3 linked regions of the Caenorhabditis elegans genome follow. The protein of the gene in region 2 interacts with the protein of the main gene of each other region in a pairwise test. Each region holds a gene or a part of one and is shown on either strand. Other genes may lie near its edges.

Region 1 (8,077 bases), on a different chromosome or scaffold from region 2:
CTTGATTATCCAAAACATCCAAATCGACATTTTCTCCTTGATCGTCTCTCAATGCAACTTCTACAGCTCCTGGTCCGGCTTGTGTGGCATCAATTGTGAATCTTGTTGGTTCTTTGGAATACACAGGTCCATCGACTCCAGGTCCGAAAATCTTCAGTTTTGAAGCATCAGTTGGTTCTTTCACTTTGACAGAGAACGGAGCTCCTGGAACTGAAACTCCAGCAACACTGACATCAATCTTGTGCTTAATTGGCGCGTCGGGAATCAATGTATACTCAAACAATCCTGGAGTAATCTCACGAGCTCCATAACTGATTGGATTGAGTTCTGGATCCAAAATCTCCACTTTCGGCACCAAATCAACTCCACAAAGACGAGTATCAACACGGAATGGAATCTTCTCACCAACGTTGTACACCTTCGATTCATCAATACCAGTGACTCGAGTTGCTGATGGTTTTAGGCCTTCGATTGGTTCAGTGACACGCAGAACAAACGGCGAATCCTGAAATTGAAAAACTTTCAATTTGTTAACTATCAGTCGATTGGAGAGCTATTACTAGTAGTGGGGTCATGGGCTTATTTATTCATATGATTTAGAAAAATGCAATCATTTTTTGCATTTTTCGGCATTTGTCCGCATTCTTTCTACATCGGCCGCCACCTCACTTCACATGCTAAAAACGAGACGCAGAGAAAACCTTTCCTGCGGGGACATATCTCTCTGCGTCTCTTGTTTTTAGCATTTGAAGTGGGGTGGCGGCCGATGTAGAGAAATGCGGACAAATGTCGAAATATGCAAAAATGATTGCATTATTCTACATTTTTCGACACTGATGAATAGGGGGAAAATGTATTAAAATACATGTTCGCATTTTTCACCATCACATGATTAAGCCGATTATTCAAGTAATTCTGCAAAATGTTTTTAAATACAATTATGACGTCACAAATGTATTTAAATACATGTTTTATATACTTTAATACAGTTCTGACGTAATTTTTCTACACTTTTCAATTTTCCGACATTACTTGAATAACCCCATTAAATACATAAAAACATGTATTTTGATACAGTTGTGACGTCATTTTTCTACACTTTTAATTTTCCAATACTACATGAATAACGCCATAACAAAACATGTTAAATTTAAAGCGTTTCATCTTATTTTAATATTTAGTTACCTGAATATGCTTTCCGTCGGCTAGCACCCCAACTTTGTAAACTCCAGCCACAGTTGGTGTATAGGATAGAATAGCACTACCATCTGGTCTCTCTTGACATCCGATTTCCGCTTTCGATGGTCCTTCAACAGCAAATGATAGATCTTTTGATTCTCCATTCATTTCCACATCAAACACGCATGGCTCATTTACAATTCCGCCTTCAAGTCCTGCTCCGAATGCTCTGATCTTCGAAGAGCTTTCCGGTGCCACATGGATCTTATGAGATTCGATGACTTCACCAGCAACCTTAACGAGTACTTCTAGATCATCAGGTGCTTGCTTTGGCGAATATTCGAAATCCATTGACTGAGATTCGTCATTGTAGCCAACTGAAACTGGTAGATGAGAACCATCCGACGGTTTCAACACTTCCAAAGAAATGTTTGCGTTGGCGATATTTTCTTCCGGATCCAACGATTCAACGTGGACACCAACGACATCATTTTTGCGAATTCCTTCTGGAGCAATTCCACGTCCCCACACTTTGAACGAATCTGAAAAACAATTTCATTACTTTTTTGAAATACAGAAACAGAGACATCATGGATTCAAGATTTAGTGGAATTCCGGATCTGTCACCGTGCCAACGCATAAAACGCAATTTTTCTCGAAGAAAAAACAGTTTTCTTCAAAAGTTCTCTTCAAGAAAATATGCTTAACAACACGCAACATGGAGCAGTTGTCACGTTTTTCTTTGAGAAAAATTGTGTTTTGTGCCAGATCCCTAATTCCACCAGATCTTGAATTCGTGGTGCATCCAGAAACTCGATTCTTATATTTATAAATATACGCACTCTTTGGTTTTCCACGCAGTGGGAATGGCGATCCGGTCAATGGGAGCTTCTTGTGGAAAACATTGACTGAATGTAGTCCAATACACGGAATTTTGTATTCGAATGAATGTTCTCCTGGTGATGTACCATCCAAGATAACCATTCGGTGCTCTTTTCCAGTTGGATCAACAACAATTGCTTCAACAGGACCTTCAATGGCGTCGACCACGGCGAATTTGACGTCATCTCCGACTTTGGCGGTTTTGTTATAATCGAGAAGGCGGGCGATTGGAACAACCTGAAGAACAAATTCAGATTATATATAAATTTTTTCTCTACCTGACAAATGACGCTAGCCTCAGGAATGGTCTGAGTCTCAAACGTGTGAACATCGTTCGCGGCTACATCCACGTGGATAAATCCAATCTTTGTAGGAGTGAACTTGACTTTGTAGGCGTTTTCTTTATCCTCAACCTTTTTAAGACTCAAATGAATATCCTGTCCATCTTCATCTCGGATCGAGACTTTCGGCTTAAATCCATCACGAGAAAGCTTCAAATCAAACTCTCTAGGATCATTGACTTGGAGAATTTTGTCCAAATTTGAAATAGTCGCTTGAACCTTTGGCTTCATTATTATTGGTTTTGTTGCAGGGAACTGTGAAAGATATGTCATTACAGACATTTCATCAATTTCCGGATGAATCATCTCAGCTGGAGCAATGAGTGGAGCAACTTTAAGCAAATCTTGAGCAGACTTCATGGCTTTCTCAGTGTTCTCCAGAGCATCATTTGGCGACCAATTTTCCCAGTCTTCAAGTGCTCCTGGAGCCATCGAATTGACAAGTGCACCGAGAGCAACTCCGTCGTTCCAGTCGGAAGTGAAGTTGGAAATCGGCATTCCTGAAACTTTAGGGTGATGAGTAAATGTTGCAATTCGAAATGGTACCTGGAAGACGATTACGAATCCAATTGAGGAGCTTTTGCTTCGGAGTCTCCTCCTTATTATCTCCATCTTCTCTTTTTTCTTGAATCCATCCCATCGAAATTGAATAATGGAGAATCAATGTCCAAACGAGTCCCAGAATCAATTTCTTGTTATGATCCACAATATGAGTACTGTCTGTAATTTAAAATAATGCAATTAAATAGAAAATGGGTTGTGGTGACCGAATATATAACTATTAAAATGTTTGAATGATTCTGTATTGAGCCAAAACATTGAGAAGTCAGGTTTTAATCAGACTTTGTCAAAAGTTCGAGACATTTTCGGTAAAGCTCGTGTGGTAAAGAATTAAAACGCAAAAAAATACAGTAACCCTTGTGATTTTTTTTTTTTGTCGTTCTCTCTCCTGATTCTGAAATCAAAATGAGAAAATTCACAAAACATTCCCTGATTTTTCAAACGACGAATTTTCGCACCAGAGACGCCATGTGTCGATTTACGACAATTTTGTATATTTACGAGATATTTTTAATCCTTATTGGATATAAAATCAGGGAAATTTTTTTGAATTTTTTCACATAGAAATTCAGAATCTGGGAAAAATTTGGAGTCAATTGAAAATATTTCTCAGATTTTCTTTAAGAGATAGTATCGAAATGAACATTAACTTGTAAATTAAAATTGAAATATTCAGTGTTTTGAATGTTTTTTAAAGTGGCCGTTTTTCCGAAATTCTTTCTCTAAAAACGACACTAATTGACACGTCGAAATATTGGCTTAAAGTCCCGAAAATGGGTATTTTTGTTGCGAAAAACGGTGGTCAACCTATGTTGTTCGTAATAATAGAGGAAAGGGGAACTCCGTGTGCTCGGGCGAGAGCTCCCATACACTGAAAACAAACAAAAACATGTTTGAACTACGGATTCGTCCTTTTGAACTGCTTCACCGCGCGGAGCAGTCTCGAAAAAGGAAAATATATCGTTTCTACGATACTATTTTTCAGGATTTCAGTGAAGGACTGCTTACCAATATTGATAATCTTAATATTCTCTTCATTCTGGAAGAAATTCAACGCAAGAGACACATTTTCGAGCTTCTGTGAACGAAATGCCACTTTCTTGTTGAATTTTCCAACATTCTTGTGGGAGAGAACTTGAGCCAATGCAATAAGCTTGAGACCATCCGAGAAATCAGTTTCCTGAAATTATAAATATAAAATCACTGAATAAAGTAATCCAAAACTCACCAGACTCTCAATAGTTTCTCCAGCCTTTTGCAAATGATTTTTGACCCATCTGGTGAATGTATTCTGTTGGATGATCTTCCATTCGGCGTCATCGTGACGGATCGCCGGAACGACCTGAAAATATTTATGTTAGAAAGTTGTATAGTCTTCTGAAAATAAATACCTCTTCTTCCTGGTCAAGGCGTTTTGGTTGCGCCATTTTAGACGTTGATTATTGCAAGTTTTCTAGCAGTCCTATATTATTCGCTTCTGCAAAAATCAAGGTATTGATAAAGAAGCGTGAGAATGAGAGAATAATACATGATTTAAATCGTACGGCCAAAAGGTAAAATCATTAGAAATGTCGATTCTTTTCTATCGACATTTCTAATGATTTTTAACACGTAATAAACTGCGAATACATGCATTAAAAGGTGATAATTGAATAAAAATTAAGTTCCAATGAAAACTTTTTTCTTTTAAATAAAATTTAAGTAACCTCTGCGAAAATTGCCAAAATTTGAGATTTTAGCTTAAAAATGGTAATTTTTCCACAACTTTGAACCGCCATAACTTTTTTGAGAAATTTTCAAAACGTCTCATTACGAAATTCGGTAGTTTTGGGTCATTTTTGGTCTAAAAAATATTGTTTCAGATTTCGGTACTCTGCCTTTAATTGATTATGGTACATTTTCAGTAAATAAGCACATAAATTGGTTTTTTTTGTCTAAACTGCACCTAACGACTTGAAATGTAAAATAATTAATGAAAACCCCACAATAAACATCTAAAATGCGCAAAATAGTGATAATTAACAAAAACCTGATTTCCGGCCGCTGTGGCACGTAAAGTTGGCAATAGTTGGAATTTTGAGATGGTATAAAAAATTTAGTTGCTCCATATTTACGATGAGAAATCAACGAGATAACAAACTAAACATCCTGGAAAACTAAAAACTGAAGTTTTTTTGTTTCAATCTTCAAGTTTAATAAAATCGAAAGCAGAGTTTTTGTTCAAACGAAAAGCTAAGAGAATTGAAGAAAACGCGTGCATGGTGATTCATATTTCATTTTTTTTGTGTAGGAAAAAGACACATAATACAAAGAGAACAAACGAATATAGACACGGATGGACGGCTTCTGGTACAAATGGAAGAATTGTTTTAGGGGGGGGGGGGGGTACTGTAGCCAATTGAAAAGACCAAAGACATGGGAAATTAATTTGAAAATCTTTTGGATAGAAATAGAAATACGGTAACGACAAAAAACGGCAACGTTGTACTTAAAAGAAAACTTGGTGAGAAATGCCCATTCTACCAGAATATAAAGTCTCGAGCTGGGGTGCACGGAAATTCTACAAAATGAGGTGGTGAACTTGTTTCCCTTTTTTTCATTGAAATTTGATGATACATAGAAAAACATTTGCTTTATAAATTGCGGAAAAATAACGTAAATTTTCAACTTTCGGACAATTTTTGAACACTTTCTCGGTTGTTTCAAATAAAGCAAATATTTTTCTATGTATAATTAAATTTCAATGAAAAATATCGGGAGAACATGCTCGACCGTCTCATTTTGTAGAATTGCCGGTCGGCAATGGCTGCGTACTCCTGTTTTCGAGTTTCGAAATTACAAAAAAAAACACACTTTAAAATGTTGACCAAAATCTAGTCAAAACTCGAGTCAATTGAAGAAGGAATTGCGGTATCCATATAAAGTCCAAAAAGAAGAGAAAGGGCACTGCGATGATCAATTCTCAAAATTTATCACCTTATTCCCTATTTCACACCCACTAAAAATGAACGACAAACGCAGACAGTGAAAGAGAACTTTCATTACCATTTTCATGTGCATCGTTCGTTTAGAACCGAAAATTTAACGATTCTCGATAGAAATATGAAAGGGTGTGCCGTTTGGAGGAACATTTGGCAAAAAAAAAAACAAAGTTTCTTTTTTGGGCGTTCTTCAAGAATATTTTCGTATTCTGAATCATCTTATTGCCACATTCGTCTATTGTTTCAATTTGACACTTTTGTAGACCGGATAGAAAGAACAAAACAGTGAAAATGTGACTCAAACAAAAAAGTTGCCAAATCCTGGAAAATGTACAAGTTTCGGAAGTTTCCACAACACATTCATAACATCTTCAAGGTCATCTAGGCGTCTTTGAATGAGAAGGTAAGATGACAGAGGGGGAGAGAACAAGGTGAAGATTTGTTGCGGGAGGAAATGGAGAAAAGGATCAACCTAGTGACCCGCGTTACCTAAATTTTCACCAAGGGCAAATCGGTAGACGTTCGGCAAGAATGTCAGGCAAAAATGTGTGGTGTGCAAAAATTACCAGTTTGCCGGAAAAAAGTAAAATTTTGGAATTTTAATGATTTCTTTCAAAAATTTAACAGTAATCCTGTTTTTAAACGCGCTGGAGTTTGCATTTTTAAATTTTGAACAAAATTGCAAAACCAAAATCTCCTTTTTTGGAAATTGCCGAAAACATATACTTTGCCGCCCACGATGTTGAGAATGCGTTAAAATGCAATTCTTTTGGATTAGAATTTACGAGAGTAGACGACGCGGCAAGATATGCAAATGTGATTGCTTTTGGTGTTTGTGGGGGTGTTCTTCGGTACATTTGGTATCATGAACTGCATTGACTCATTTATTTTCTCACATATAGATGTTTATTTTGATGCCACATGCCACAAACACACTCACGACATTTCTTCGGAAAATACCAAAAAAATTTGGTGTTGAGAACGGGAGGAAAGCGTGGGTTATTTATATGCAACTTTTCGACCGATGACTGTTCACCTCTGATAAGAAACTCGTCAAACTCTTAGAGTGGCAGCTGAAACAGACGTCAGTGGCCGAACTTCAATCAATAATGAAAATAACTATGGAAAGAGATCGCCAGCAGGTAGATATACTCCAAAAATATTAATATGCCGTGTATAATATTCGAATTAAGGAAGAACTTTCGGAGATGAAGATTAATAATTATTGAGAGAATAATAATAATGATGACCCGGAAACTAGGCGAGGATAAAATCTCAAACATCAGAAATTCCTTGCATGGAAGGAAAACTGAAACAAGCGGAAAAATCTATCAGATTTTTCCCTCGTGCATGAGCCCATCTTCTTTACGGAGGGAGCCCGTGCTACCGACAGATGAGACGATGTCTAGGCTCTCTGTGATCCTTCACACTCTGTGTTCCAATGAAGCACCTGACATTTGTGTCTCTTGAATCGATTTGTCTTTCTGTTTTCCTGATTTCTCTTCTTCTTTTCTGCTCACAATCCCCCACCAGATTTGATGATATCTGTGGGTGCGTGTGCATCCACGCTGTTTCCACGATAAATGTACGCAACGCCTTGTGGTTATAGGTTAGGGTTATTACAATGATCACGAGCAAAGATTTCTTTGTGCCGTAAAAGACAAGAACACGAGTGAGAAGTGAAAAATCTTTGAAAGTTCCATGACAATGTGGGTGAATTGTGGAAGAATTCCGAGAAAAAATTATATAAAATTTGATTAATTCGAGCTTTTCTAGGTGTGCTATTGATAAGTTCATTTTCAATATAAATTCCTTTTAAATACAGAGAAACAACGAAACTCATAAAAATAGAATAAAATTGTCAAAGGTTTCGATATTTCTGCCAATTTTGTACGGAAATTTTGATCATTCCTGTTCAAAAATGGTGAACCTCTATGATTTTCCGTCTGAAAATCACGAAATTCCAAGCTTCTTCAACTAATTACTCAAATCAGGGGAGAAATTACCCCACAACCTCCGAATAGCAGACTTACAACTGAATTTCTGTATTTTTTGACTCAATTAAATGAAAACATTTTTTTTTACACAGAAAAATGCAATTTCAATCGAAAAAACGAAAAATTCTGTTCAAAA
Region 2 (8,077 bases):
CGTTTTGCTCTTCCGCTTGCTTATCCTTTGGCTTCTCGATTTTTGGAGTCAAGTTGTTAAGGTGAGCAGCGTTTTTGAGTTCTTCCTTTTCGAATTGAATACTGGAAAATAAAAACAAATTATATTTTGGTAACGTTAATTGAAACCTACATTCCAATAGTCTGATTGAGTTGGTTGATGAGTTGTGCTTGTGTGGAGACAAGAGAATTCAATGCAGTGTTGTTTCGTTGAAGCTCTTCAGCTTTTTCCTTGAGCGCTGATAGTTCTTCTTGCATTTTTCTGAAAGTGTTGGTTATTTAAATTTGGGAGAAATATATTCATTTAATTAATGAACTGAGCTCTAAGGTTGATTTTTGTTGAATTGTTTTTGATTGGAGTAGTGTAGATTATTACTGTAGTTATTTTTCCCCAACTCACGTATAATTATCGGTATTCGATTTTCCGTCTTTTTCAAGTGTATCAACTCTCAATTTCGTATTTCTCAAGGATGTCATACACTCTTCGTTCTTCTTTGTAATATCATCCAATTGAATTGACACTGACTTCTTCTCACTATTCGCTGATTCCAAATCTGCCATACTTCCTAAAGAAACGATACTATATTTTCAGATAAACGGCAGAAAATTACTAACCAACAAGCTTTCCTTTGGTGAGACTCAGCTGGGCGGATAGTTGTCGAACTTCTTCGTTTGTCTGGGATAAAACTTCTCCTTGAGCTTGATATACGTAGAATGCGTAAAAGAATAATACCTGCAAAAAGTGTATAATTTCATTGACTTCTTGTTAATTATATTACCAGGCAAATAAGAAATACAAAAAGGGGCCAATTCCTCATTGTAGTAGGACGATCCGAGTGTGAACTGCTCCTGAAAGAAAAAAAATTGAATATTTATTTAAACGTTGTCCTTCTATGTATCTATATGTTTGTTTAATGGTTACAAAAAAGGGAAAAGCCACGCGACATCTGCGGCGCACCGTTTCGTTTTTATGCAAACGGAAGACTGCGTGGATGTCATAGATACAAAAAGGAAAGAGACATCGATTTTTGATAGGCTGACGAATGCAAAAAAACGGAGATTAAAGGGGATTTGTAGTAGAATTAGAGGAAATGCATAGTTGTTTGATTTAAAAAATCATCAAAATTCATAAAAACACAGAAAACTGAGTCAATACAAGAAAATTCGAGTATCAAGCTTATGTCTACTGTTATTTTTTCAAAACTGCATTTTAAATAAGAAAAACTACAGAGTTGTGACTCTTTCAGTAGTAATATATAGAGTTATCATTCCAGTGAAAAAATTACAACTCCAATTTCCAGTTTTAACCTAAAATCACTTGAGTACGTATTTCTAATTCAATTACAAAAGCTGATGATGTACTATAGCACTTACTGGGTCTTATGCAAAATTACAGAAACAATTTGAAAACTTGGTTGAGAATTTAAGCCAGAGTAATTTTTTTGTCGGAAAATTCCAATATTCAGTATTTAAAATATAGATGTTGAAGGTAATATATATTCTCAAAAGTACGCAGGCACAGTCGACAGTAACAGGGGCGCCTGGAGTGCCTCTCCACTACCGGCGAGGGCAAGGAGCACCCCTTTTCTACAGATGTTAAAAATTTGTTTTAAATTCAGTAAAGCTGGTGAATTTTACAAATTGTGCACATTTTTGAATCCGGAAAATTTTCAACACTTCGAAGTTGTTCTCAAAATCGGCTTTCAATTCAAATTTTAAACAGGAAAACATCTTTAAAAATATTTGTTCAAACACAGAGTTTTATAAAAAGCTTCTAAAAACTTACCGTATGAGAGGCTTTCTGCTGGATGACATGACGGGGGGATACCGGCAAGTATGTCTTTTCGACGGGCGATGATGGCCGCTGATGATACGGCGAGAGGTTCCGAGACACAGGCGTCCTAAATGTGTTGGAAACTAAACGGCAGAAAATGAGCACTAGAAGGTTGGAGAGTCGGGGAGAGATGTTAGAGTGACGAGGGATGAGGAATGTTGGAAGAGACAACACGAGAGAATAAGACAAAGAGAGATGTCCTGCAAAAGAGAGTAAAGACTTTTCTCCTCTTCCTGCGGGAGTCAGAGAGAGAGCGGCGGGAAGCAAAGAGACCACATAACGATAAGAGACACAGAAAGTTTTGTATCACTGTCTCTCTCATCATTTCATTCTATCTCTTCACCTTCTTCTTCTTCTACTTCAATCCATTCCCATCGCCTTCTCCGTGTGTGTGTTTGTCAGTGTTCGGCAGGAGGCCCTCCTTTGCATTGTATTCCCCTGGAATGCGACCTGCTGCCCCTGGTACTACTCCAAATGGTGCATCTTCTGATATCAGACATCAACGTGGAGTTGCTCCGATCCCATTTGGCTCTACTAATTCAGCGATAGATGCCCATCACAATTCAGTAGGTTTTGGTTTGGAAAAGTGATTGGGTTATTGATTCAGATCTTGATCTGTTTGGCTTGATCACTCCCTAGATTTTCAGCTGAACCATGTGTCATTTGAAAGAGGACCTTTAAACTAGATCGTTGTAAATTTTAAGCGGCAAAGTGTCACGATCTGAAACTTTTTAGTGCTCTTTTCACAACTTTCGAGAGCTGTAGACTTGCTCCAAAAGCTATTTTTTGCAGACATGTTGTTTTTCAGTGATTAAGAGCAATTGAAAATTCTAGGAGTTTTAATAAAATTTTTAAAAATGTTCTCCCCCTAATCAACTCGATCAAAATGCTTTCAGATTTCCGTTTAAAAAATTATTTAACTTAAAAATTACCTCTAGCATTTTCGGACCAATTTTTTCTAGTTCAAAATGCTCTTCTGTTGCTAAATTTTTTGTGGGGTCCTATTCAAAAGGTCTTCTTTTAAATTATATTGGCTTTGCTATTGTTTGTAAATACATCTATAATCGCAAATCATTTTTTTTTGCAGTTCCATGTTTTTTTTTCCTGATTTGAATTTCAAAATCTGTTCAAGATTCGTAGAACTCATTAAAATTTAAAAAAAAATCCTCAAAATTACTTCACCCTTTCTTATTCAACACTTTGGCGTTCCGAGACAATGCGGGGCTTTCATGGCAGACGTTATCACTTGGAATGGCGGTTTTGATAAGAAAATGAAATCACCTAAAATTCCATTTAGAAGCATCACCTTTTAATAGTTTCGTAATCAATGAATCAGTATTTTTCATATGAAAAATATATAAATTGCTCAGAAAAATGTACAATTTCAGTGTTGAAACATTGAAAACTTCCATAGAAACGCAAAGTTTTTTGCTTTAAAGAAATCCTTTTTTTACAAAAATTCTAAAAAATTCGCATCTGGGCAGTGGTACCATAATTTGGCATAACTAATTAAACCAATTGTTTTTCCAGGAAATCCGCGTGGGGCGTCATCGTGCAAAACTCGACGAAATTCGCGAATCGCTGAAAGCTTACGAACATGAAGCCGGTTTATTATCAAGTCACGTGGCTCTTGGATCACTTGCAACACCGTCAAGTTCTTCCGTCAGCCATTCTGACATCACCAATGACAATGCGGAAGTGATGAATTTTTCGTCTTCTTCTTCAAATGCAGCAGCGACGACGACGACAGTCTCGAGCGCTGCTGTATCAAATTCGAATTCTTTTAGAGTGAGTCACATTTCTTTTTTTTTAATCAAAAATGGTCCTGGAAATCGAATGGAAAAACATTTTGAGAGTAAAAAATAAAATTCGATTGGCTGGGAAAATTGTCCGTCAAATTTTCCGTCTAGGTCAGTTCGTATGCCCAAAAAAAACATAACTTTTTTGAAATTTATACATAGACCGGCCGAAAGCGTCATATTTTTCTTCGAAAAAAAAAAGAATGGAATTGTAGCAAACTAGCTAGAAATTCTATTGAATAAAAAATTATGAAATAGGTGGCTCAGCTCAACTTTGGGATTTTATGAAAATTGTCAACTATGAATCGATTTATGATCTTCAAAAGTGGTGAAGGGTGGTGGTTCAAAAGTGAAAAAATCATATTTTCAGACAGAAGGTGGTGGTCACAAGATGCGGATAACACCAATGCCACAAAGACATTTAATGATGGATACTGGTGCCAATGAGACAGTATTTCGAAGTGGAAAAGAGATGATTCGAAATGGAAATCCATCAACAACTATATCATCAACACCTTCTACAACAACTGAAGAGTCGATTAGGATACATCCTGCTGGATATCGATATGATATGCCAACTCCTGCATATCATATGAATAACAATGCACCACAATACTCACCAGGATATGTAAGTTGTTCTCGAAAAAATATAATACTAAAGAATCGGAAAGTACTTTTTCTGAGAAGTCCCACTTAAAATTTTGTTTTAAAAAAATTGGTTTGCGGTGGTTCAGTTTTGAAAAAAGTCCAAATTGTCAATGCGATTATCACTTTTCATATTTTGGTCGTTCGTTCCATGTTTTTCTGTTGATTTGGCTACATTTTCGGTCACATATTTGATAATATTTAGTGCACCCGTAAACTGAAAAGGCACTTTAATCAACGGCGAGACACGTGTGAACAACTAAAATTAGTAACAAAATATACTTCCAAATTGACAAAGTTTGAAAGTTTAAGCTGAAAAGAAAATGGACCAAAACTTTCTTTGAAAAATACTCCTAGTTCAAGCAATAGGGGGACCTTCTTGTGACCTGTTCATAACTTCTGAAATTTTTTTTGTAAAATAAATTAAAGAGTCCAATAAAGTACACACAAACACCCCTAGTAGGCAGACCTGACACTTTAATAAATGAAAATTTTCAGTCTCGACCACCTCCACCAGCCTACGATTCATCTCCGGTGAACACTAGAATGACTCCAGTTGCAACAGACAACTACCGTACTCACCTGCATATGAAAGTTCATCCTGTTGTAAAAGCGCCACCACCGAATCCAACAATGCTCAATCACAACAAGAATATGGCACCCCCACCGCCTCCTCCAGCAAAATCTACGATTTCCATCGAGACAATGTAAGTTTTCTAAACGATATCAGAAGGATTCTATAAATCTTTTGCTTTAACTTTTCAGGAGTGAAGAACGAAAAGCAGATAATATCCAGAGACTTTATCATACATCAATGGACAAAAAAACAGCTAGTAGTGTTGTTAGTATCAATGTTGCTTCTCCTCATACGGTATTTTATGACCTCAAATGATATTAAAATTCATTTTTAATTTCAGACAAAAGTAAATGTTGGTGATAGTCCTCTTCCAAGCAAATCATTCATTATTGGTCCACGGTATACAGCTGATGTCGATAGGAAGAATTTTGTCAACTATAAAGATGAGGTAAATTTGAGAAAAATTCAACTCCTACCTTCTGAAATATTTAACTGATATTTCTAGAGTCATTTTTTTGACAGAGCTCATAAAATATAAGAGACTAAAAGTTTTGTCTTCGCAGACACCCATAATCAGCAAAAATTTGCAAAACTACTTTAGAATCGGTTTCGAGAGCCCAGTTGAATTTTATGAATAGAACAATAATTGTTATAAAGTTCGGGGATAAACCCTAAAAATAAAATGATTTCAGCTGCGTCCCGACCCTCGCCTGATTCCATCCACTTCCGATGCAAATCATGAAGATTTCCGGCCGATCCTTTTCAAACCAAGAAATCTCGAAATCACAATGAAATCACGTGCTCAACCTCCTCCTCCTCAATACAATCAACCCAGTGAGCCACCTCCGAAACGAGTCAGCTCCCCAATTGATCGAACACTTTTGGAACCATACATCAAGAATACACGAAGAGTTCAACCATGTAAACCAAATATGCTTCGATTTTATATGGAACAACATGTTGAACGACTTCTACAGCAATATAAAGAACGAGAAAAACGAATGAAACAGTTGGAAAAGGAGATGGTTTCAGCTCAATTACCGGATATTATGAGGAATAAAATGCTGGGATTACTTCAACAAAAAGAGTCAAAATATACGAGATTAAGAAGACAAAAGATGAGTAAAAGCCATTTCACTGTCATCTCACATATTGGTGTTGGAGCATTTGGAAAAGTTTCATTGGTTCGAAAAAATGATACTCGGAAGGTTTATGCAATGAAAAGTTTGGAAAAAGCGGATGTCATAATGAAACAACAGGTAGGATTTGTTATTTGTTTAGGATCTTGGTTTAAAAATTTGAAAATATTGGTGTCCTACGTTTGAAATAAAACCTTGAATAGAAAGTAAGAAAACTGCAAAGTCTAACATTTTTGATACTCTAGGTTTTTTTTTTTTAATTTAATTGATTCTATATTTGCTACTAGTAGGAAAATATATCAGATATATTGTGAGTCTAGTAGTTTTTAAAATGTGACTGTAAAGCGATATGATCGAAAAATAATTTCAAAACTTTTTGACTAAAAACACCATTTTCTTTCAGGCCGCCCATGTGAAAGCCGAACGCGATATTCTGGCAGAAGCTGATTCTCCTTGGATTGTTCGTCTTTTCTTCTCATTTCAAGATGATGCTTGTCTATACTTCATAATGGAATATGTTCCCGGAGGAGATATGATGACTTTATTGATTCAAAAAGGAATATTTGAAGAAGATCTCGCTAGATTCTACATTGCTGAACTGGCATGTGCAATTGAATATGTTCATAATGTTGGATTTATTCATAGAGATTTGAAACCGGATAATATTCTAATTGATCAACATGGACATATTAAGTTGACTGATTTTGGATTGTGCACTGGTTTGAGGTGGACTCATGACAGAAGGTAAGATTATGTATTGTTTATTTGTCACGAGAAAGAGAGGGTGTCTAATGGAATAGAGCCTAGGCGCGACGCAAATGATTAATTGTAGTTGGTGTGCTCAACATCTGTGCAAAAAATATTTAAGTCACACATGAAACCATCCAATATTTTCTAGATACTATGGACCTGAAAACGACCATCATCGTGTCGATTCATTCTCGCTTCCTCCTGAAGTTGCAGCTATTGATAAAAGCGTTAAAGTTCTAAATGTTCGACAACAAACCCGCCGGATAACCGCCCATTCTCTTGTTGGAACAGGAAATTACATGGCACCCGAAGTAATTGCCAAAACCGGGCACAATCAGAGTTGTGATTGGTGGTCGACTGGAGTGATTTTGTATGAGATGGTATTTGGAAGAGTGCCATTTCATGATGATACACCTGGTGGAACACAACATCGAATTAAGAATTGGAGAAACTTCCTTGATTTTACATATTGTGGAAATCTATCAAAAGAGTGCCTTATGATGATTCAAGTAAGTTTTTTTGTTTAAATAGACGTTGTGAAGACCAAAACTTTTTCAGCAACTAATTTGTGACGCGTCGTCAAGATTGGGATCTCACGGGAAGGATGTTGCCGAACGAACGGCACAAGTCAAAAATCATCCATGGTTCAGGGGAATTGACTGGGTTAACTTGAGAAAACTGAGAGCTGATTATATTTATATTCCTCGGGTCACTCACGATGAAGACACTTCTAATTTTGAAACGTTTCAAGTGAGTTTTTCCTTTTAAACTTTGTTTAGAGTGTCTAAAAAAGTTAGATATAATTTTATGTATGTAGACATAAAAAAGATAGCATCAAAATTATGAATATTTGAGTTTGAAATACAGAATTTTTATTTGAATTAAAGTAAATTAATTGTGGAGTTTCTGAAACTATTATACATAGCAGCTCCAATAAAAACATAATTGAGTTTCACTACTCAAATTTTTAACTTAAATTTGGAATCTTGAAAAGTTTTCTTTCAAAACCTATCACACTTCTAATTCCAAATTTCCAGGACAATGACCGTGCTGACAAGCCGAATGTGCGAGGTCTTCATAATCCAGCCTTCTATGAATTCACTTATCGTCATTTCTTTGATACGGATTCTGTTGGTTGCCCATCACTTCGACCATCTCGTCGTCGGTCACTTCGGCCATTACTTGAAAACGGAACTTTTAATGAGTCAGTGTCGGAAGAAGATTCATCGTCTCATATTTAAAAGAGCATGAATTTGTTTATTGATTATATTATATATGATTTTAATGTGATGTTTTAGTATCATTTTTTACTCATT
Region 3 (8,077 bases), on a different chromosome or scaffold from region 2:
CAATTTTTCGCCTTACTTGCTCGAACTGCTCTTGGTTGTTGGATTGAGTAGTGACAACTTGATTCATGTTTCTTATTATTTCAACCATTTCTTCTTGCCATATTTGCACATCTTCCACAATTTTGAGCAAAGAGGTAAGTTCAACTTTCTGGCTCAACTGATCAAGCCGTGTTTTGACGTAATCAGTTTTATCAATTAAAACGTTGATTCTACTGATTTGTTCTTCATTTTGGTTTTCTTCTTTCAATGTCTCTAATGTTGATTTATGCATATCAGCAGCACTTTTGAATGAAGCAATCCTCTTCTGAATCTCCTCAACTTCCTGAAGCAATAAATAATCTACCAAATTACAGTGAAAAATTATTCAATACCTCTTTCTTTGTGACCGTTGAGTTATCGACCTTTCCAATAAACTCTAAAACATCTGTCTGCCACATTTGAATCTCTTCGATTACAGTTTCAACTTTGGTTTGTACATTCTAAATTTTTAAATTACTTTTGCAAATCCTACATTTTATCGATTTACCTTATCTCTCTGCCACTCAGTCCATTTGTGTTGAACGTATTTGAATCTGTTCTCATGGTCGGTAATCATATTGCGAACTGCTTCTTGAGCTCTTTGGATATTCAACCACTCGTCTGATTTTCCGATTTGAGTTGCATTTGATATGAACTTTTCAGCTGAAAGATTACGTTTTAAAAATACCAACCAAATTATGGTAACAAACCTTGATGTTTCTCTTGACTCAAAGTTTCTAAAATCATCTGGAACACGTTGGAAATTTGTGCCGCCACTTTCTCATTTGTATATTCTTGATTGTTCTCCAAAAGTGTTTGAAGAGCATCAAATGAACCTTCAAGGTCTTTTCCAAACTTGTGAACTTGCTCGTAAGTGGAGCCAATTTGAATTCGGTTCTCCGAAATGTCTTTTATTTTTTCATACTTCTTCATAAAATCGGTCAGTTGTTGTTCTTCATCTGGAGACATTTGTGGCTTCTTGGCGAGAAGACTCATAACGTCAGCGTCTCGGTTGACGATTTCAGTTGCAAATTGTTTATGAGAGACAACGAAATCACGAGCATCATTCAAATTTCCACCCATATCACCTTTCTGTGCTAAGAATGCAGAAGCTTGTCCATCCAGCCATGATTGGATGTTTGAGAACTGGAAATTATAACCTTTGAAGTTATTATAAATTAATGGTAACGTACATGAGAAGTCGTCTTTCCAGACTCTTTCCTTTGCTTTGCAAGAGCTTCTATCTCACGCAACTTTTCTGACAAATCTTCAACGTATTGCTTGACAAGTCGTTGTTCTTCGTAGCTCAGAACTTCTTTTGCTGCAAGAATAATTTTTACCGATTCTTTTTATTGATAATTGACCTGTTAATTATTTTTAGAAAACTTACAAGCGATATCCTTTCCTTCGTGGATAAGAGGAGATGCTTTCTGCTTTGCCAAAGGTGCTAGCTCTCCAGCCATAGCCGCATTTGCGCATTTCATGTCTTCAACCATCATATTCAACTGAGATACCATCGATTTTGCGGCTTGAAGGAAAGCGTGAATTCGATGTGATCGATTCATTCGGGTTTTCAGATAATGAAGGAATTCCTCAATTCTACCGGAAAGATGAGAAATACGTCCCCCGTCTGATGATGGACTCTGCGCTAGGTGACGAAGACGGGATACATGCTTCTGAAATGTGTAATTGCTTTTTCAGGTACATAAAATTGAACCCACATTTCCTTCAGTAAGAACATTTTTCTGTCCAGCATCGTTGAGAGCTTTGACTTTCTTTTCCGCATAAGTTAGCCATTGTTCAATAACAACGAGTTCATCTTCTGTTGTAGTTGTAGCATTTTGTTGTGTTGCTCCCGACTTTCGCTGCTGCCAAAGTCCTTCGGATCGTTCCCAATCAGCAGCAACTCTTCAATTTTACTTTTTAAATAAAATGTTATAATTTTAGATCTTTAAAAAAAGTTGCAGAACTATATTCCTAGGTTTTAAAAAGTTGCTTACCTCAACATAACACTTTCAATTTTTACTGATGCATCTAAAATCTCTTGTGGTCTCTCTGGATTGTCATCAAGTTGTCCCAATGTACGAATTTGTGAAATGACGGAAGATCCCAAATCTACTACAGAAGCAGTTGTGTCAATGATGTCTGAAATTTCAGATTTATTTTTTCTTATTATAAAATCAAAGCTTACCATTAATAAGCTTATCGATGGATGATTGAAGTTGTTGAGAGTTTTGCTCGTTGATTTGTTGCACAATTTCAATAGTTTTAGCATTGGATAACTGCAGTTAATAAAATCACAATAAAAAACGGTTTCAAAAATCAACTAACCTTTTCATGACTTTCAGCCAATGTATAAAACTGTACAGTCTCTCTGAGCATATATCCTCTGAGGAGAAGTTGTCTGTTCAACGATCTCCACGTCTGAAGATGCGACATTTTTAAGGTCGTACTGAAGACTAAAAACATGAAAACGCATTCCGTCTGGATTCCTACACTACGCAGATTAATGGGCTGATTTATGTGCAGCTGGGTAAGAATACTAAAAAAACCGAAATGCATACAAACCTCCCGCAAACTCTTCGCCATTTCGTCGTAAACAATCGCTTCGTTCGGATTCGTCTTTTCTGCTCCGAGGCTGTCGGCACGACTCAAGAGAGCTACTACCTGGTCATCTTTGTCCTGAACAGTAGAAATATATTATAATACAACTTTTGACAGAAACTCACTTGAAGCCTTCTGATGAGATCATCATGGATGTTGAGCAAATCTCTAGCTTCTTGTGATGAATTTCCTATCGAAAGTAGCTTCGGCTGCATTTCATCAACACGAAGTTGGATATAACCAGCACTCTAAAGAATTTAGGTTTAAAAAATTAATAAAAATAGTTTCAACCTTTAAAAGTGCAACTACAATTGATGCATTGACACCAGCTTTTACAGCAATTGTTGATAGTGTTGTTGTTGATTTATCACCCTCTTCACTATGTCCTCTTTGCGCTACAGCGCTGAGGTTGGCGTCATTCGGCGCCCCTCCTGGCGCCATTTTATGATGGTATTGTGATCTTTCTGAAATATTGGAAAATTTATTGGTTACTGAAAAAAAATTAACATGATTTGAGCGAGATTGTTAAATTTGGAGAAATATGCAAGATCCAGTGTCAACAGGTAATATAATCTCAGAGTTTAGCACCCCGGGGCAATATTACTAACAAAAATACGGTAATCTGACATTTTAAAAGATTTCAAAAACTGAAAACCGGAGAAAGAAAGGATGATGGATCAAGCAAGAACGCTGAAAACTGGGATGGCTTTCCAAACAATTGGCAATTGTTGATGGCAAAATTTGGAAGAGAAGGGAGCAGGGTGAAAAACAAAAAACCGCTTGTTCTGACTTATCAAAATATGTTTAAAATTTAGACATACGTTTTCTTTTAGTCGGACTTCAAAATAGGTGTCTCTTTGTAAAACTTGGAGTATAGTTAATTTAGTTTACATACAATACTCCAAGAAAAATAATATCCAAGCATAAAAATAAGTAAGTACAAAAAATTAGTATAAAAAGTGCCGCCCACTCCTAAGGTTGTCCAACTTTCTGTGGTGCTCTCCTACTATTACACACGTTCTGACTGGGGATCCTCTCTCATCTTCCTCTTGCTTCGGAAGGAAGAGTGTAAAACATTGAGCCAAAGCACATCAAGAAGTGGGATGAAGCAGGAAAGGAGAGATAGAGAGAACAACAACACAAAAATGCGGGCGGAGAGGCGAAGGAAGAGGTGATGGATAGAGAACAAAATGGAGCAGGAGCATCAGATCATTGTGGGAACAGAAGAAAGCCGAGAAAAAGTGATCAGTTAATTGAATCTCGTGTATATTGATAAAAAATTGATAAAAATGATTGAAAGGGGAAGGATTAAAATTTATTAAAAACTTGTTTTTCTCAGATCAAAATCAGAAGTTTCAGGAAATCAACTAGCGTTAAACTTGTAAAAACGCACTGTTGAATGAATGAGTATCTAAAAACCAATTACAATGAATGATAATTTCCTACTTGAAATTTGAAAAAAGTTTTTATTCAACTGTGTGAACGGAACGCCAGGTAATTTTTATTGAAGAATTAGCAATGGTAACTAATGAAAATTCAAAATTATCACTCAAAAAAATTTGAATTCTCTTTGTTTGAAACAACCATTCAAAATTATCCGTCTGGTATCGAAAAAAAGAGTCGAAGAAAAATTAAGAACAGATGTACTCTAGACACATTGAAGGCGCCAATTGTTGGTGATGGCGGTGTTGGTGAGTATGGTGTGTGTGGTCGTGGGACCCGTCCGTCGGTTGTTTCTTATCCGCCCATTACAACGTATGGGAACACATCTCGACGGAGTTAGCCAAGAGATCAGCTTCTTCAGATTTTTGTCCAGTGCCACGTTTTCGGATGCTGCTTCTGCAGGCATTTCCAATCGGGAAGATTTATTGCAACAACACACATACAAAAGGATATTCAAGTTATTTTTCGAATATTTGTGTGAAATTTTCGAAGTATTCGGGTAGCAATCAGAGTTTTTCTAAATTTTCACGTTTTGTTTTCACACTACAAGTTTTATGCTTTCCGCAAAAACATATGTAGGCTATTAACATAAAACGGAAACAACAAAAATCTAGAAAACATAATAAACACAAAATTTTCCACATGGTTTGTATCTAAGTTATCATAGGAAATTAATTTTTAATTTTTGTCAAATATGATTTGCATTTGTGTTCTGAAAGTTTAAAAAACTCTAAAAGAATTGCTAAATATTTTTGGAATAAAGTGATTTTTCTTGTATATGGAACATTTTATTGAAACAATTGAGGCAAGAATATTAAAATGGAACAATATGAGCATCAACATTATTACTTCTTTCTTCCATAATACTGTTGCTGTTGCTGAGTTTGCTGTGCATTCATTTGTTGATTATTCGACTGTTGTGTTCCTGTATTAGGTGATCCCATTGATTGGGTGTTGGTCTGTTGATAATCTCCAGTTTGATATTGTTGATTGTTCATTTGTTGGTTGCTGGTCTGCTGATATTGGGAGTTTTGGTTCTGGCCATTCGACTGTTGGAATTGATTTTGACCATTTTGACCATTTTGTTGCTGGTATTGAGTATTTTGGTATTGTCCATTTTGATTTGCTTGCTGGAATTGTGAGTTTGATCCCATTTGGTTTCCATAAGCATCACGTTGTGGGGTATTTCCAATGGCATTGGTGTTTGTAGTGTTTCCACAATTTTGAGCGTTACACAAACATGGAGCCTGTAAAGATAAAATGTTAAGATTTGGGCTCAATGAGATATTTGTACCGTTGGCATGGTTGGCATTGTTGGGATATTTGGGAAAGAATTGTTGACTGATGGAAGAGTTTGGAAGACTGAGTTAATCCATTGGCCAACCTATAATCGAAAAATTAGACGACTAAATAACATTTTAAATTCTTACATATCCGTTTACTTGGTTCATGTATTGATCAACGCTGTTTCTGTATTGTTGAATTTGTTGAAGTTCTTGTTGAGTGGCTTGTCTAGTCTGTCCATTTTCAATCACTTGTCCATCCTTATACTGACAGTTTCCATTGTTGAAAGAATAATCCATAAGGGAGACACTGCTACTTCCACTGCTAGCTTGACTCTGGCTCATTTGGGAATTTTGATTAGAATATCCATTATTGGAATATCCTTGCACTTGTCCAGATTGTCCCATTTGATTTTGTCCAGCGTCATATTGTGCTTGTGTTCCGTAATTATTTTGTTGTCCTTGCTGATACTGATTAGAGTTTTGCTGGTTGTTCATGTTTGATGTCGTTGAATATTGATTCGAGTTTTGCTGATTTTGCATTTGATTTTGATTGTACTGAGCCGTGGAACCATATTGTTGATTTTGGTTATATTGAATTGGTTGAGCGGTTGCTCCGTTGTTGTATTGAAGAGTGCTAGATCCATATTGATCATATTGAGCACCTTGGGAAGGTTGATATTGTTGATTCGTAGAATACGCGGCTGCAAATTGATTCGTAGTGAATGTCTGTCCATTGTTATCGTCTAAAATTATTCTAACGTTTTTCTAAAGTTAGTTTAATTCTGAGTTAGTTCGAATCATAAAAAATTGAATTTTAACTCACATTGTTGCTGAGCGGCTACCGCAAGAACGCAAACTGATAAAATCGTTAAAAACTGCATGATTCGTGAAACTTCTGTTCTTTTTCGACGACCTTTTCACTTATATACTCAATGATCGGTTGCCAAAATGAATCAACGCAAATAGACTCGTGGACACTCCGCCTCTTTCTATTTAACTTTCTTACTTTTCAACTAACTACTGTGGAGAAGAAGATTTGAAAATCCAAACAATCTACACTCGGTGTTTACTAGAAAAAAGAAAAGAGTGACAGTTTGCCACTTGATCACAAAATAATGATGATGAAGTTTTGATTGGGTTGTTATAAAAAATTGACTTCCTCAATTTCGCAATTAATTAAAAAATTTCTAATTTATAATGTTTCTGTTTCAATGAGCTTGCTTCTGTGACATGGGTTCAGAGATGTGAAGTAAATATTTGAGAACATAAACTATTTCGGAAGCGAGATGAACATTGTAGTCTTGTAGTAGTGGCAATAATCTTTTTAAAAGTTAAAAGCTGTCAATAGTTTATTTCGATAATCAATTTTTATATGGATTGTAAAAGTCGGTGTTGAAATTGTCCCAGTTGTATTGGTAATATGGGTACAATGGATTGTACGAACTTTGAGCCGAATAGGTTGGGACAACTCCGGTGCCAATCTGATATGTTGTTGGACTATTCCAGAGACGGAATGGTTGATAGTAGGGATCAGAAGAACTTTGGTAGTATGGATTATACGCGCCTTGGTAGTATGGATCTGAAAATGTTTAATTTTTTTCCATATTACAGAAAAACTTCCACTCAGTCACAAAAATGGAATACTTGAAAGTTGGCGTAATATGTCTTTAGGAGGACCTAGCTTAAGTTACAGTGATTATTAACTTAATTCGAGACGACTAATAAGGCCAAGTCTTTATGACAAAAAATTTAACCGTTCCGTGAGCGTTTTATCCTAACTTGTTAAATCTGGGATTGTTTTTATAATTCAGCTGTTTAAAACAAAATGTTACTTTTTGTAACATATTTTGGATCAAACTTACATGCGAATACAGCACTAATTGTGGTGCAAATGAGAACTAATAGAAAATACTTCATGTTAGTGTTTCGGAATACGTCTAAATTTCGTTATTTTGTGAGCGGTCCATTTTCTTTATATGGCACTTTGATCAAACACTAAAATCGTTTTTTTCCTGTTATTTTTACAGAGCCAATTGTTTACAGAAGGGATAAAATGCATGATGCACATAGGTTTCAACCACTTGAAGACTCTTTCGTGAAATAATATTAGTCCTGATTCATTGATTCGGACAGAAAAAGGAAGTGACGAGTTTCACCAAAATAAGATAATGTGATGTCATTGTTTGAAAACATATTGGTACATTGAATATGTAATACGATATATGTTAAAAACTTTGAGTTCAAGACTAACGAGAAAACAAAAGGGTTTTCTGTTATTTTCAGAATCCAGATTAATTCCAGACACGATTCCGATTAACTGGAGTATTGACACTTTCTAATATGCAAATATCAGATTAGTGTTGAAATTAACGATCTCACACCAGCATAAAAGAAGTTGAAAATTAAACGAAAACTTATGAAAACTTTCCACGAAAGCAAGAATCTCCCAATAAATGTTTAGGATTGTTATAATCAAGTCCTTTTGGTTCCCGCTCTCGGATTTCAGTAGCATGAAAGCTATTTTTTACACGTGCTAGTTTCCAAAAATGCAAATCTTCGACGACTTACCAAGAGTGTCACCCCTCACTCCTATGTTAAAATTTTGTATTTATATTTGCAGAAGTACAAAAAATTCAATTTTTACCAAATTTTCCAAAAACTTTCGAGGCTGATAAAAAGAATGTTGAAAATACTTTACATGAATATTGCAGTTTCATGGAATCATA

The links.
Region 1: the proteins of wts-1 (region 2) and fln-1 interact in a two-hybrid assay, tested with the Caenorhabditis elegans proteins (one large-scale study listed by BioGRID).
Region 3: the proteins of wts-1 (region 2) and F21C10.7 interact in a two-hybrid assay, tested with the Caenorhabditis elegans proteins (one large-scale study listed by BioGRID).

The regions. Positions count from the first base shown.
Region 1 is NC_003282.8:371,623-379,699, forward strand, and holds the start of fln-1 (Calponin-homology (CH) domain-containing protein), read right to left. Parts: upstream 4,391-8,077; coding exon 4,355-4,390; intron 4,306-4,354; coding exon 4,192-4,305; intron 4,144-4,191; coding exon 3,972-4,143; intron 3,123-3,971; coding exon 2,949-3,122; intron 2,909-2,948; coding exon 2,340-2,908; intron 2,299-2,339; coding exon 2,022-2,298; intron 1,982-2,021; exon of another isoform or gene 1,899-1,981; intron 1,722-1,898; coding exon 1,186-1,721; intron 506-1,185; coding exon 1-505.
Region 2 is NC_003279.8:10,292,064-10,300,140, reverse strand, and holds the start of wts-1 (Serine/threonine-protein kinase WARTS homolog), read left to right. Parts: upstream 1-2,213; 5' UTR 2,214-2,294; coding exon 2,295-2,417; intron 2,418-3,381; coding exon 3,382-3,639; intron 3,640-4,020; coding exon 4,021-4,278; intron 4,279-4,793; coding exon 4,794-5,002; intron 5,003-5,060; coding exon 5,061-5,166; intron 5,167-5,212; coding exon 5,213-5,320; intron 5,321-5,564; coding exon 5,565-6,131; intron 6,132-6,414; coding exon 6,415-6,755; intron 6,756-6,909; coding exon 6,910-7,270; intron 7,271-7,319; coding exon 7,320-7,511; intron 7,512-7,798; coding exon 7,799-8,002; 3' UTR 8,003-8,062; coding exon of another isoform or gene 8,063-8,077. Other genes in the region: T20F10.2 (Si:ch211-1a19.3), read right to left, coding at 1-101, 151-279, 418-583, 633-750, 797-866, 1,804-1,832. UniProt on the Caenorhabditis elegans protein: Phosphorylates yap-1 which may negatively regulate yap-1 nuclear localization. Plays an essential role in larval development.
Region 3 is NC_003283.11:9,107,776-9,115,852, reverse strand, and holds the start of F21C10.7 (Ig-like domain-containing protein), read right to left. Parts: upstream 3,087-8,077; 5' UTR 3,064-3,086; coding exon 2,914-3,063; intron 2,871-2,913; coding exon 2,748-2,870; intron 2,701-2,747; coding exon 2,587-2,700; intron 2,443-2,586; coding exon 2,350-2,442; intron 2,301-2,349; coding exon 2,210-2,300; intron 2,164-2,209; coding exon 2,019-2,163; intron 1,927-2,018; coding exon 1,740-1,926; intron 1,695-1,739; coding exon 1,409-1,694; intron 1,340-1,408; coding exon 1,212-1,339; intron 1,165-1,211; coding exon 729-1,164; intron 682-728; coding exon 527-681; intron 480-526; coding exon 372-479; intron 323-371; coding exon 1-322. Other genes in the region: pqn-31 (Prion-like-(Q/N-rich)-domain-bearing protein), read right to left, coding at 4,911-5,312, 5,360-5,449, 5,496-6,094, 6,175-6,232; F21C10.18 (Nematode Specific Peptide family, group B), read right to left, coding at 6,713-6,930, 7,214-7,268.